2 linked regions of the Sus scrofa genome follow. The protein of the gene in region 1 interacts with the protein of each later gene in a pairwise test. Links are inferred from orthologs where the notes say so. Each region holds a gene or a part of one and is shown on either strand. Other genes may lie near its edges.

The links.
Region 2: the proteins of SF3B4 (region 1) and PPP1R16B interact in binary tests that used the Homo sapiens proteins (3 or more experiments, as listed by UniProt). The two-hybrid records come from large-scale screens. The link is inferred for Sus scrofa from reciprocal best matches to the Homo sapiens genes SF3B4 and PPP1R16B.

The regions. Positions count from the first base shown.
Region 1 is NC_010446.5:99,122,142-99,126,389, forward strand, and holds the start of SF3B4 (splicing factor 3B subunit 4), read left to right. Parts: upstream 1-1,422; 5' UTR 1,423-1,516; coding exon 1,517-1,550; intron 1,551-2,029; coding exon 2,030-2,158; intron 2,159-2,694; coding exon 2,695-3,237; intron 3,238-3,819; coding exon 3,820-4,026; intron 4,027-4,248. UniProt on the Homo sapiens protein: Component of the 17S U2 SnRNP complex of the spliceosome, a large ribonucleoprotein complex that removes introns from transcribed pre-mRNAs.
Region 2 is NC_010459.5:41,850,908-41,854,718, reverse strand, and holds part of PPP1R16B (protein phosphatase 1 regulatory inhibitor subunit 16B), read right to left. Parts: coding exon 3,700-3,811; intron 3,161-3,699; coding exon 3,085-3,160; intron 1,842-3,084; coding exon 1,712-1,841; intron 1,619-1,711; coding exon 1,450-1,618; intron 1-1,449. UniProt on the Homo sapiens protein: Regulator of protein phosphatase 1 (PP1) that acts as a positive regulator of pulmonary endothelial cell (EC) barrier function. Involved in the regulation of the PI3K/AKT signaling pathway, angiogenesis and endothelial cell proliferation.

The sequences.
Region 1 (4,248 bases):
AATCGCTGGCCTCCAGGATGAGCTATCCCATCTTCAGGAGTTATTAAGGAAATGGACACCAAGAATATCTCCTGAGGATCACTCCAAGAAAAGAGATCCAAATACCATTCTTTCCCAATCCCACTGAAATTGCTGGCTCTCTCATGGGCGGGGCAGAGAGTGGTCTGGGGTGAGGGAGAATTCTGTCTAATCCTTCAAATCTTATCTGGTTTTACTCCCTCAGCTTTCATATGCCAGCCTTTAAACAAGCTCACTGACTTGAGTTTCCATAGCTGATAGGTGGCTAACCTTATCCAACTCTTACCCTATCCTTCTTGGTTTAAATAGTTTCTTGTGACCTGAAGAATTAAAGAAACAAAACCAACAAAACCAATCCGGAATATGATTGCCCTTTTTTCATGCATTCCAACCCTTTTGGATGGAAATTTTGGATACTGAGCTGGTAAATTGTGAGGTCAGAGAAACAATTTGTCAGTGCCAACAAGATGGCCTACAGACCTCCTTCTCACCTCCCCCTGCTGCTCCTTTGATTCCAATTTCTATTTCTTCCCTTAAAGTTTTCTCTGGGTGTGGTGTGGCTATGGGAGACACCCAGTCTTTTCCAATTGTATATTTTTGTAACGGCATTTCTATTTAAGGAGTTCATTAAATCACAGTATTTATACACACTGCTGGCATTGTTTCTTGTGTCTGAATAAAGGAACCTAGGTAAGATAGTGATGGTGTGACTCAAGAGAGGAAGATACAGACCGAATTACTGCTAAGGAAATAAGGGGATGGTTCAGGTGAAGCTCTGCAGAATTCATAGTTTGGGTTCTCCCTGTGGTGCTGATGTGGCAAAAACAGACCCAGACGTTGTTGTTGGGGCTGGGGTGTGCTCTGGGGGTTGAGACCAAAGCCTCTGGACTTCAGTGTTAACCACTCTTCAGCGCTGGTCACACACACTCCCATCTCTGAGCCTCTGGTTCCCGTCACCCCCAATGCAATACTGACTAGGCAAGCTCAACGTCACTCCAGCTCAGACATTCCGCAATCCCTTCCCTGAGGAAAAATGAAAGCCCAGGCCAGGACTATGGGGCCCCATCTGTCCAAAGGCTGCGGGCCGGGGTGGACAGCTGCCTCCACGCCTTGGGCAGAAGACCCTTCTCTGGGAATCAAAGGAGGCCACAAAATATACGAAAAATATTGTTCTCTTAGCTCCTGAATTGACATTTTTGGGAGCAGCGTGATCCTTTAACTTCAAGCACTGCCTTAGGGCGTTTGAGAGATTCCGATCCGCGTTCCCCGCCCTAACCTGTCAGAGCGGCACTTCAACACAAAACCAAAGACCGCGGAACACGGTAACACCAATCACTTCAAGTCTCAGCGGCTCCTAAAATGGCCGCGGCCGCTTCCGGCTCCTCCCCTGCATAGGCCCCGCCCACCGCCTCTACGTCCGCCTTCGCCCCGGAAGTGGAAGTAGTACTGCGGTCAGGAGGCGGTATCGCTGCCTGGAGACGGCGGGAGGTCTTTCGCCATGGCTGCTGGGCCGATCTCCGAGCGGAATCAGGGTGAGTGGAGGGCACAAGTCCGGGATGGGCCCAGGGGAGTTTGGGGGATCTCGGGTTACAGCCAGCAGTGTTTCCGCCAGGGCGGGAGATTGGAGCATCCCAAAAGGCGCTAGACCGGCCTGATGCCTGCTGGGGCGGGATGGACGGGTGCCCAGAGGCTGAGGCCTGTAGGTGTGATGTTGTCTATGTCCCATCCCCTGCTGCCTTCCCACTCACGCACACAAAAAATTACAAAGAGAATGTGCGCCAGAACTTTAAATTATATTTAAGAAGATTTTGTATTACCTGGAATGGAGGGCGGTGTAGGGGTATAAGCTAACGTCTTTTTTTTTTTTTTTTTTTTTTTTTCTTTTCTTTTTCTCTTTGCTCCAATACCCCATCTCCACCCGCAACTCCACCGCCTGGGTTCCGACTTCATGTTCCCGTCACCTCCTTATTTCCTCTCATCTCTGTCCTAACCTCCTAACCCTGTCCTCCAGATGCCACTGTGTACGTGGGGGGCCTCGATGAGAAAGTTAGCGAACCACTGCTGTGGGAACTGTTTCTCCAGGCAGGGCCAGTAGTCAACACCCACATGCCAAAGGATAGAGTCACTGGTCAGCATCAAGGTGAGTACATGGCAAGAAGTGCAGTTATTTTTCATTTAATTTATTTTTTGGTCTTTTTGTCATTTCTAGGGCCGCTCCCGCGGCATATGGAGGTTCCCAGGTTAGGGGTTGAATCGGAGCTGTAGCCACTGGCCTATGCCAGAGCCACAGCAAGGTGGGATCCGAGCGGCGTCTGCAACCTACACCACAGCTCACTGGCAACGCCGGATCCTTAACCCACTGAGCAAGGGCAGGGATCGAACCCACAACCTCATGGTTCCTAGTCGGATTCGCTAACCACTGAGCCACGACGGGAACTCCCAAGAAGTGCAGTTATGTTTTGAGGAAACAAACTGCTCCTGGAAGGTCCCGGCAGTATTCACAACTGTTTGGAATAAGCAAGCTAAAGTTTTCTTTCTCTTAAACTCAGTTTGTTTCTGGAACCATTCTCAGTTGAAGTAGGATTATTTTTTCTTGTTCTTTGTACTTTAGAAGGTGAGTTATACCTCATTTTGAATCGCTTCACTTAAGTTAACTCTTCTTTTCCATTTCCCTAGGCTATGGTTTCGTGGAGTTCTTAAGTGAGGAAGATGCTGACTATGCCATTAAGATCATGAACATGATCAAACTCTATGGGAAGCCGATACGGGTGAACAAGGCATCAGCTCACAACAAAAACCTGGATGTGGGAGCCAACATTTTCATTGGAAACCTGGACCCAGAAATTGATGAGAAGTTGCTTTATGATACTTTTAGCGCCTTTGGGGTCATCTTACAAACCCCCAAGATAATGCGGGACCCTGACACAGGCAACTCCAAAGGTTATGCCTTTATTAATTTTGCTTCATTTGATGCTTCGGATGCAGCAATTGAGGCCATGAATGGGCAGTACCTCTGTAACCGCCCAATCACTGTGTCCTATGCCTTCAAGAAGGACTCCAAGGGTGAGCGCCATGGCTCAGCAGCTGAACGACTTCTGGCAGCACAGAACCCACTCTCCCAGGCTGACCGCCCTCATCAGCTCTTTGCAGATGCCCCCCCTCCACCGTCTGCTCCAAATCCTGTGGTATCATCACTGGGGTCTGGGCTTCCTCCACCAGGTAGAGCTTTCTATTCAGAATATGTTTGTCTTAAATTGGGGGGAGGGCAGGAAGAAGGAAAAAGAACCTGGAAAGGAGGGGACATTGAGTCAGTAGGTGATGAGAAAGGGGTTGAGAGGTAATGGATGCAGTGAGAAGAACATTGTTGAATTGTTCTAGCATTTTTTTTTGTTTTTTGTCTTTTTGCCTTTTCTAGAGCCACTCCCATGGCATGTGGTGGTTCCCAGGCTAGGGGTCTAATCGGAGCTGTAGCCACCGGCCTACACCAGAGCCACAGCAACGTGGGATCTGAGCCACATCTTCGACCTACACCACAGCTCATGGCAACGCTAGATCCTTAACCCACTGAGCAAGGGCAGGGACCGAACCCGAAAGCTCATGGTTCCTAGTCAGATTTGTTAACCACTGCACCATGACAGGAACTCCTGTTCTAGAATTTTGAAGTTGTCTAAGTTGCTTCTGACTTTAGAGAGCTGGAAGGAGGGGAAAAGAACTCATCTTGCCTAGAGGCCAGATTGGAACAGGCCCCCTAAAGGTACTCTCTTCTCACTATCATGAACTCTTTTTCTATTTTCTCTACAGGCATGCCTCCTCCTGGCTCTTTCCCACCCCCAGTACCGCCTCCTGGAGCCCTTCCACCTGGGATACCCCCAGCCATGCCCCCACCACCTATGCCTCCTGGGGCTGGAGGACATGGCCCTCCATCAGCAGGAACCCCAGGGGCTGGACATCCTGCACATGGACACTCACATCCTCACCCATTCCCACCGGGTGGGATGCCCCATCCAGGTGGGTTTTCTTTGCTGGGAAGGAGAGGGATTCTTTCACCAGTTATGCTGCTGTTCTCTGTCCTTCAACAATAATAGAGAGTCCCTTTCTTTAGACATTCCTTTCTTCCAGACATTTTTTTTTTTTTGTCTTTTTGCTATTTCTTGGGCCGCTCCCGCGGCATATGGAGGTTCCCAGGCTAGGGGTCGAATCGGAGCTGTAGCCACCAGCCTACGCCAGAGC
Region 2 (3,811 bases), on another chromosome or scaffold:
ACATGTTTTCAGCTGCTCATCATGCAATGGAAGAACCAAAATGGCAGACAATTGCTGGTATGGTCAGCCTCTTTGTTCTGGGTTGTTTTTTTTTTTTTCTTTTTAGGGCCTCATATGGAAGTTCTCAGGCTAGGGGTTGAATTGGAGCTATAGCTACCGGCCTACACCACAGTCACAGCAATGATGCCAGATCCCCAACTGACTGAGCGAGGTCAGGGTTGGAACCCACATCCTTGTGGATCCTAGTTGGATTCATTTCCCCTGAGCCACAACTCCCAGCCTCTTCATTTTGTCCCCAGCAATTCTGCTCTGGCCTCAAACTCACTTGCTCTCCTCAGTGAGAATGAAGCCATGCATGGACCTCAGTGCCTGAGTGCATTGGTACTGAGTCGAATATGACCCCTCCCCCACTTCAAACCCATGTCCACCCCACATCTCTGAGTGTGACCGTATTTGGAAGTAGGGTCTTTGCAGATGTAATCAGTTAAATTAAGATGAGGTCATACGGCTAAGGATGGGCCCTAATCCAAATGATTGGTGTCTTTCTTTCTTTCTTTTTTTCTTTTGGCCATACCCACAGCATGTGGCAGCTCCCAGGCCAGGGAGTGAACCTGTGTCCCAGCAGCGACCTGAGCCACTATGGTGACAAGGCTGGATCCTTAACCTGCTGTGCCACAAAGAAGCTCCCTAACTGGTGTCTTTCTAAGAGAAAACAGAGACATAGACACACACCCAAAGAAGACCACATGAAGACAGAGGCAGAGGTGGAGGCATGCCAGCAAAAAGCCAAGGACCTCCTGAGCCACCAGAAGCTAGGAGAGCAGCACAGAGCAGATTCCCCTCAGAGCCCCCAGAAAGAACCAACCCTGTCGACACCTTGATTTTTAGACTTCTGGCCCCCAGAACTGGCAGATTGTACGTTTCTGTTGTGTCAAGCCAGCATCCTCTTAGGAAAGCAGTTTAATGCCCAGGCCATTGGCTACTCCTGGAGCCAGCTTCTTAGACGTCCTGTCAGCACCTCACTCCGTTTTTCCAGACATTTTCTTCCAACCAGATGTGTTCTGGTAAACAATTCTCAGCGTCTTGCTTTATTTCCCCTCCTGAAGTGTTCGGGCTCTTTTCTCCCAGGGTGGCTGCCCGACGAAATCTCCCTTCTGGGAAGCTCAGAACTAGTTCTGCTGGAGCCTAAGCAGGCAGGTGCCGATCACGTGCTCCCTGGTACCTGTGTGTCCCTACTGTGTGCAAATCTCCCAGCTGGGACTCCAACACCCCCTTCACGTGTCTCATTAACCACAGCAGCCACCCCATCAGACGGGAGCCAGCTGTTTCAGGGCACCGGCCAGCCAACCACCCCCTGAAGGCGCTGACCTGGAGCAGCAACGCCAGGCTCAGCCCTGGCCCCCTCCCGTGGCAGTGAACCCCGGGGCCGGGCCGGAGGCGGGCACTCACCGGGTCCTTATTCTCTTGGTCTGTCCGTGTCTCCCGGAGGTCCCCGTTGTAGGTGGACGTCCGCTGGTCCTCGGCTGCGCTCCGCTGCTGCCATAGTATGGCCTCCCCCTCATACTCCTTCCTGTACAGGTTGGTCCTGTCGGACAGGCTGGCTCGACGCACCACCTTCCTGAGGGGAGAGGGCAGGTGCTGAGAGGCTGCATCCAGGCGCCACAGGCGGGAGCCTCAGGGGGCACCCGGGGTTGCCCTGCCTCTGACTCACCCGCGGCTGCCTGCGCTGGATGTCCTCCTGCTCAAGGATGACTTGTGCCTCAGCTGGGACTTCATGATCACGTCGTGCTTGTGTTTTAGCTCCAACAGCAGGACCTTGAACTCTTCCTCTTCGCACAGGTCTGAAGGGGCAGAGGAGACCGTTGTGGGGCGGGGAGACAGTACAGGGGCCTGTGTCCCCTGAGGGCCTTCCAGACCAGGGGAACTACCATCCCAACCCACCGAAAACTCCCAACATCTTTTGGGGCATGGGGGAGGGGAGAAAACAGTGACAGTCTCACTTCCTGGGCGATAACCCCACCCTGAGAAGAGTGTAAGAAGAGGAAAGCAGGGAATTCCCGTTGTGGCTCAGTGGTAATGAGTCCAACTAGGAACCATGAGGTTGCAGGTTTGATCCCTGCCCTTGCTCAGTGGGTTCAGGATCCGGTGTGGCTGTGAGCTGTGGTGTAGGTTGCAGACGCGGCTCGGATCCCAAGTTGCTGTGGCTCTGGCATAGGCTGGTGGCTACAGCTCCGATTCGACCCCTAGCTTGGGAACCCCCATATGCCACGGGAGCGGCCCAAGAAATGGAAAAAAGACAAAAAAAAAAAAAAAAAAAAGAAGAAGAAGAGGAAAGCAGGTCCCATGCAAAGTTCTATGAATGGTCCCAATTCCCAGCTGTGACTGAAAGATTCAGACACCTCTGACAGCTTCTAAAAGGAGTCATCAATTCTTCACTGACGCAAGAGGTATCAACAGACAGTCCATGTAGCCCAAAGAAGAAATGATGAAAAGATGCTGAGACTATATATCCCCACCCATTCAATCCACGTCATCCTTTAATTCATCCGTCTACCTATTCGTTGAACCAGTCATCCATCCATAGATTCATCCTCTACCCACCCATCCTCTTTTTTTTTTTTCTTTTTACAGCCACATGTGAGGCATGTGGAAGTTCCCAGGTTAGGGGCTGAATCAGAGCGGCAGCCGCCAGTCTACACCACAGCTGCAGCAACTTGGGATCTGAGCTGCATCTGCAACCTATGCTGCAGCTTGTGGCAATGCTGGACCCTTAACCCTCTAAGTGAGGCCAGGGATCAAACCTGCATCCTCATGGATACTAGTTGGGTTTTTAACCCGATGACCACAATGGGAACTCCCCCACCCATCCTCTTACTCATATTCATACATACATGCATTTATCCATTTACCCATCCATCCCTCCATTAATCTACCACCATTAATTTATTCACTCATCCATTTATCTATCCATATGCTAATTCACCAGCCCACCATCTATCCAACCATATATTCATTCCTTTATCCTCTACTCATCAAAAAGTTGATGAGTGCCTATGTATGTACCAGGTGTTGTGCTGACCTTACCTATTGGCATCTCATCCATGGATGTCCTAGCACTGAGACTGGCCCCATGGGACACCAATAGCTCTGCCATCTGCATCTGAAACACAGGAAAAAGAGGCCCAAGTTCCCCCCTGCCCACGGCTCAGAAAGCCTAGGAGGTGGAAAGAGTGTCCATAGCTTCTTAGAATGTGACCTAAAGAATGGTGGGGCAAAGCTGACTCCCAAGGAAGGATCCGCCCCATAAAGCCAGGAATCCAGGCAAATGCAAGGGGCCTGACCCCTCCTCCTCCAGTGTGCCTGGGCCATACGGAGGGACAGGAGGAGTCTGGCTATAACTCCAGAGCTGTCAAGTGTCTAAGGAGGAACGGTGAAGGCTACAATCAGAGATTTATATCTGAGAAACATACGGAGAAACTACTCAAGGCAGAAATGAGGGGAGTTTTCTAATTTGGCAAATTGGAATATCATCTTGTTAGGATGCAACTTTTGCAAATGCTTTAGGTCTTTTCATATCCCACACATTAGCCATAGTCAACACCTTCAATGAATCTTTTGCTCTTTTGAACCAACTTCCAGCCCAAAGGATAGCAGTTGACCCTGCGCTAGTCTCCCTGACAGCCCTGGGGTGACAACTACCTGTCCCCAGAAGGCAGCTGCATGCAGGGGCTCCCAGCCATCCCAGTCCTTCACATCCACGCGCACACCATGGTCCAGGAGGAGCTCGGCTGCCCGCAGGTATCCATTGGCC